2 linked regions of the Rattus norvegicus genome follow. The protein of the gene in region 2 interacts with the protein of the main gene of each other region in a pairwise test. Links are inferred from orthologs where the notes say so. Each region holds a gene or a part of one and is shown on either strand. Other genes may lie near its edges.

What was found.
Region 1: the proteins of Fhl3 (region 2) and Ttll10 interact in binary tests that used the Homo sapiens proteins (3 or more experiments, as listed by UniProt). The two-hybrid records come from large-scale screens. The link is inferred for Rattus norvegicus from reciprocal best matches to the Homo sapiens genes FHL3 and TTLL10.

Annotation. Positions count from the first base shown.
Region 1 is NC_086023.1:171,911,871-171,914,104, reverse strand, and holds the end of Ttll10 (protein polyglycylase TTLL10), read left to right. Parts: intron 1-394; coding exon 395-511; intron 512-827; coding exon 828-921; intron 922-1,205; coding exon 1,206-1,660; 3' UTR 1,661-1,734; downstream 1,735-2,234. UniProt on the Homo sapiens protein: Inactive polyglycylase.
Region 2 is NC_086023.1:142,237,299-142,241,589, forward strand, and holds the start of Fhl3 (four and a half LIM domains protein 3), read left to right. Parts: upstream 1-1,491; 5' UTR 1,492-1,539; intron 1,540-4,291. UniProt on the Homo sapiens protein: Recruited by SOX15 to FOXK1 promoters where it acts as a transcriptional coactivator of FOXK1.

The sequences.
Region 1 (2,234 bases), about 30 Mb from region 2:
AAGAAAACAAATAATTTGTAAGGTAGACGTGCTCTGCTATTTCTGATAGCGAGATGTATTTTTTCCTGGAATGAATCTAACTAGGACAACTTGAAATGCTATAATGTTCTCCATCCCTGACCAGGGTGTGCGCTCTAGTTGTCTGTCTCTCCTCCTGCAAGTTCTAATTTCCTTCACTTTTGTATCTCCTAGTACTTACCTCACAGTAGAAGCTCCATGATTTTGTTGAATGAGTTTCTGACTGTGGGTCTGTGACTCTGTTGAAGTGTGGGCAGTTTCAGCTGTGCAGGTGAGGGTGAGGGTGCAAGAAAAAGGTGTGACTGACTGTTCAGGCCTAGGAGATTTCATCTGGGCCAACAGGTGACAGCAGGAAACCTCCCTACTTCACCCACAGAAGCGGATGCAGCAGATCATGTCCCACTGCTTCCTGGCTGTCAAGTCCAAGCTGGAGTGCAAGCTGGGTTACTTTGACCTCATTGGCTGTGATTTCCTGATTGATGAAAACTTCAAGGTGCTGTCTTGGGAAGAGGAGGTCTGGTAGGCAGGTGTACGGAGGTAGGGCCCTTCTGTGCGTTGAGCACATAAGGGTACCCAGTGGGTGGACTCAGCCCTAGATTTGGATGTATGTGTGAAGCTGGTCTCCTACTGGAACTGAGCAGCTCTCAAGATCAGTCTTAATTCCTTGAGCAAACGAGGGGAACAAAACCATGGAAAGATACAATCCGCCCAGAATCCCATGGCTTAATCGGGACCAGAGTCCCCACCTTCTTAACGGCCAACTGGACAGTAGGTGGGTAGAGAATGAGGCTGACCACTGTCTGCCACAGGTGTGGCTGCTGGAGATGAACTCCAACCCTGCCCTACATACCAATTGTGAAGTCCTGAAGGAGGTGATTCCTGGAGTGGTTATGGAGACCTTGGGTGAGCTCTGGGCAGTCCCACACCACAATTTCCCATATACTTTTCCCCAGTTCTGGGTACCCCATCCTATTTGCCTCCAAGTTCAGACTCAAGTCTGGCTTTCCAGCACTCCATAATCTGCATAGCAGCCAAACCCTCTGCTCATACTTCTGTCACTTCACCCATCTACATCCAATCCCTCATGAACCCCTCTCCTCCTCCCTTGTTTCCAGACATGCTGAGAGGTTGCTACCTCCAAATTGCCCTCTCACCATTCACCTTGTCGCTCCCCTGCCTTCCCACAGACCTGGCGCTTGAGACCTGCCAAAAGAGTTTGCACAGTCAGAAGATGCTGCCTCTGCAGTCACAGCGTCGCTTTGTGCTCCTTTACAATGGCGAGACTACAGACTTGTGGCCGCGCTTGGGGAGCTCACGCCCACCTATCCGCTTGCCTTATGCTAACTCTAACCATGCCCGGTCCACCTGCGAAATCTCATCCTCTTCGCTTACCTCAACACGTGTCACTATCGCAGACCGGCCTGCGGCACGCAAGTCGATGTCTTCCAGAACAGCTCCCATTTGCGCCTCCCGCAAATCGCGGCTGTCTGACTCGGGCGGTGTCTCCATAGAGGAGTCTGAGACCTCTGTTTGTTCTGGGCTCCCGGAAGGCAGCAGGGACGCAGCCCGGGAACCCTCCCTGGGGCCAACCGAGGAAGAGCGAGAGGAGGAACAGAGGAGCACGAGCCATCGAGGCTCCTAGCAGCCACAAGCATCCAGTGGCCTTGCGCTTTGCCATGCCCTCTCCAGGACCTATAAAAGCTACTTTGTGACAAATGCGACCTCCAGAAACCGATCCCATATGGGTGCCCCAAGCTCTTCTGTCCCCACTTCTCTCTTTGCTCCTTGATTGTCCTTAGAGGAAGGAGAGGGGAGCAGGCAGAATGGGAATGAGTTCTTCAGGAAGGGAAAAACTCCCCTGATCTCTTTTTCCTTCTCTGGGGCAGCCCACCAAACCCTGGGTCCCCGTTTGTGGCTCTCTGTTACTCATTCTGTAGGAACCTCCTAAAACTCCATGGCCTTCTTGACCTCTGCAGTCTAGCACTAGGACCCACCCACTGTTCTATGGAATCCCTAGGAAAGGTCTTGGATGCCCATGGAACTCTGGAAGGCCCCACCTTACCCCATTACTATTCTGGTGCAGAGCGGGAGTTTGTCCTTATCCTGCCCAAGACCTATCTTCTGGACTTTCAGACACTTTGTGGAACACTGTTTACAGCCAAAGCCCCCACTTCCCTACAAAGGCCTGGAGTCTGTCAGGCATGAGAGGCACAAAG
Region 2 (4,291 bases):
CCAACCTCTGCTCTCGTGGCATTTGCAATTTAAGAATCAACAGCATTGGGGTTGGGGATTTAGCTCAGTGGTAGAGCGCTTGCCTAGGAAGCGCAAGGCCCTGGGTTCGGTCCCCAGCTCCAAAAACAAAAAACAAACAAGAATCAACAGCATTGTGGTTGGGGATTTAGCTCAGTGGTAGAGCGTTTGCCTAGCAAGCACAAGGCCCTGGGTTCGGTCCCCAGCTCTGGGAAAAAAAAAAATCAACAACATTGAAGCAATTCTTTAACTTTAAAAGGAAACCTGGTCTGGTAATTGTTTTAGGACCTAGGAACCAGACCCATGTTATGGAACGATCCTCACCAGCCTTGAAGGCTCTTAATCCCCACAAACTACCTTGGCTGGATGCAGCCTTGGATCAGGGAAGCCTCTCTGGGCATCTGAATCATCACGGAGATGCAAAGGTTATTACCAGGGTTAGTTTGTTGTCTCTTGTTTTGCAAACAGCACAACAGAGCTTCCCCCACCCCACCCCCGCCCTCCAGATCAAGGCTATTTATTTCTAGTGACAAGCCTGAGGATCCCAGGGGGGTTGGCCTCAAGGACCTGGATGGGCCTCATGTCCCTGGCAGGCGCCAGTCCTCCCTTCCCGAACCAGGGTAGAAGCTGGAGGGTCAGAAACTACACAAGTTCCCTCTCTTCTTAACCACCCCTGCCTACACCAACCCAACCCCTCACATTGTTCACACACCCTCTCAAGAAACCCAAAGCCAATGGGACCTAGGATTAGGGTCTCCCTGAGCCTGAAAGGTCAAAATTATTCCTGGGCACTATTGAAACCTCAGTGCCAGGACACAGCTGAAGATGGGGAGGCTGTTGCCTGGGCTTTCGCCACTCGCTTATAGAATAAAAATCCTTTGAAATTGAGGAGGATAGAGGCTCTCTCTCTTTAACCCAAGTTTTTAGAAAAAACAAAAAAAAACAAAAAAAAAAAACAAACACAAACCCTTGATCTCCACTGGTAAGTCAGAATCAAAACCACGCCTCCAGCAGGCTGGATTAAGGCCTCTTCCCAAGCTAAGGTTTAGTGTAACATCTGGGGATGAGCTAGAGGGAAAAGAGGAGGGGGTCTGGTCCCCAGATGGACTCTAGCTAAGTCCTGGAAGCCCCGTATCCCTGGCCTGGGATCGCTTCCAGAAATCCCCCGGGGTCGAAGGGGCGTAGAGGGCGGGTCAGGCTGCAGGGGGCGAGCAAGGAGTGGTCGAGAAGGTCAGAGCGCCAGATTCGCCTGGGCTGGGCTCGCGGCAGGCAGGAGGGGGCGGGGTCTTGCCCCCGCGGGCGGGTTGGGGGCCCGGGGGCGGGGTCCGGGCGGGGCGGGCCGGCTCACTTCCTCGGAGGCTTAGGGCCGCGCGCCCACTCGCCCACACAGTCTGTCGCAGCAGGCTACCTCGCCGCGGCTCTCTCGGCCCCCTCGGCCCGGCCCGCAGGTAGGAGCCGCCGGGAGATCGGCTCCCGCCCCACCCACGCCGCTCGCGCCCAAGCTCCCGCGCCCGCTTCGAGGTGAGAGTCCCCCCACCCACCCAGCTTCCAGCCCCTGTTTCCGCGCTGCGTTCGGACCAGGGTTGGCGCCCGGGCCCCCACCCCTGTCCTCTGCTGGGGCATCTCGAACACGGGATCCCGCGCGCCTGCACGGACCCCACCGCTCCGCGCCTCCCGGTCGGGCAGGGACCGCCCGAGTTGCAGGGGATTGGGACCAAGTTTGAACTAGAAAAGCTTTAGAGGTAGCGGGGTTGGAGAAACTGAGGCTTTTAAGGAGTCTGGTAGAACAGGGAAGGGCGCGCGCCCCAGGAGGCTACCCGGACCACACCAATGGTGGCTGAGAATGGCCGGATAAACTTCTCGAGGCGCTGCCGGGGACCCGGGTTCTGTGGAGCAATTTAAGAAGCAAAATGTATGACCCCAGGGAACTCATTGCTAGCGCCCTTCCCAGGGCCTTGGAAGGCCCCGAGGCTGGAGCTTGTTAGACTATGGCTAAATCTGCCTCCCTGAGGCCTAAAGAGACTCTCAGGTGAGAGACACTGAGACGCTGAGAGACCAAGACTTGGATGCACAGGGACAGAGATCCTCAGAGTGGAGGCCCCACTAGGACACAGTTTCAGAGATACAGGAACACCTTCACCCCAACACAAAGACAGCAGCCCAAGGGTACCGAGAGGTATGGAGTGGAGGCTAGAGTTCACTGAGGAGAGACACCTAGTGTATTCACTGACAGCTGCCCCAGGCCTGAAAGGGTGGAGGCAAAGCTAGGGGGAAATTGAGTCTTAGCCAGCCCATCCCCCAGGAGGCAGAGGACCTGAGGCTGTAACGCTGAGCTGAAGAAAGAGAGCCCCGTACAGCCTCTAAGACAGCGCCAACTTATTTTTAAACTCAAATCTTGGACGCTCTGCCTCAGCCCTAGGGGACTCTGGGGTGAATGAAATGTTCCTCTCCTGTCCTCAGAGCAGCTGCTGGATCCGCTCCCTTATCCCCTTCTCCCTAAACTGCTTGACTTCCAGGCCCTGTGGGCAAGAGGGGCGGTGGAGAGTTTGGGATTGGTGCCTGGTTGGGGGACAGGGAGAGGGAGGGTTAGAGGGGGCTCTAATTTCTCCCCTAAGTCTCTTGTCAAGGGGGAGGGGTCTTCTCTAAGTCTGAGTCACAGCTGTGGGGTCTGGCCAGGGTCCTCGTGGACTTGGGATATGTGGGGGAGCGGGAGGCGGGGAAGGGGGGTATACCAAAGGGTTGAGCAGTTGGCATGGGTGATTGGAAAGACTTCTGGGTGTCTTCCAATGGCAGGTTGACAGCTGGGGAGGAGAGCCAGCCCCGTCCTCCCCTCCCCCCATGACTGCCCCTTCCACCACTATCATAGCATTTCCAGGCAGAGCTCTCCACTAAGGGATAGGTCACTTGTGCTCCAATTGCTGAACAGTCTCGGTCATGCCCCTAGCCTGCCCCTAGTGTCTTGTGCTGAGCTCTAAACGAGCTATACACTCTGTCCTGCCTTTTGGTGTGCGGCTTGTAGTGACCGTGGGGTATGTATTGTGTAAATAACAAGACATCGAGCAAAGTGTGTGCCCCCGGGAACTACCCACCTGTAAGGTCTTTAAAGTTCCCCCTCCTCCTGTGTCCTGCTGACTGGTCTCAGTGGTTCCCTGAGACTCCTGAGGTCACATCCCAGGCCAATTCCCGCTTCAGGCCTGCCTGAGACCCACCGTCTGACCCCAGTAGGAGTTGAGGGGCTTGTAGTAAAAATACAAGTGACTACCGTTTACTTACATAAGGCTACAGACTTATGACTGGCCAGACACTGTTCTGGGGATTGTCACATTTAAGCTCAACAGCTGTCTTAGGAGAGGGAGGTAATAGTATCTCATTTAACTAGATGGACAGTCTCGGGGCATGTAAACTGTGTACCCAAGGTCACAGGATTTCAAGTCGGGTTTATATTTTGTGACCCAAGCAAGCTGTTATACACTGGACACCGTACAGAAAGATATGCTGCCACTCTGCTCTCGGAAGTTCACTGGTGTGTGTGTGTGTGTGTGTGTGTGTGTGTGTGTGTGTGTGTGTGTGTGTGTGTTCAGTCAGGCATGGAGATATGTGTGTTAGTGGAAATAGCAGATTGGGGTCATCTGGAAGACCCACTGTCTCCTCTAATCTACCCCCCTCCTAACCCCCTACTCCTCCACCCCCTTCACCTCCTCACCCCCCTCACTCTCCCACCCCCTACCTGCTACCAGGAATACAGACCATCTCCCAGCTCACCTTTCTAGTCCTCCAGCCTTGCCAGGGATGGGGGTGGGGTGGGGGGGACTGGGGAAAAGACAAGTGGGCCTTGGTGGTGCCCTTCACTCTGTCCTCATTAGAGACATAGATTAAGGGATTGGGAGATTCTGGGAAGGAAGCAGAAGGCACACCCATGCCCTATTTGGGGTGCCTCATCTCATTGTGGTGACTGGCTCTGAGGGGGTGGATCCAGGGCTAGCCTGGACCTGGGAAGGTAGCTGCTGCCGCCAAGCCCGGAAGGAAGGGCTCCCAAGTGGACTCACGGCCACAGACCACCTGTATTTGCTGTTGTGGCTAACAGCCCAGGCGATCCTCAGAGGCTGGGCCAGAGGAGACCAAGACCTGAATGACGGTGGGGGGAGAGAAGGAGAGGGAAGAGGAGGTTCTCTTCATCCTTTAGCATAACCCCTACCTGAGGACTCTCCCCTTTGAAGACTTCAGCTTTGGTCTGTCCAAAGCTTTGGTGTGTCCTGCTTTGGTTGTGAACCAG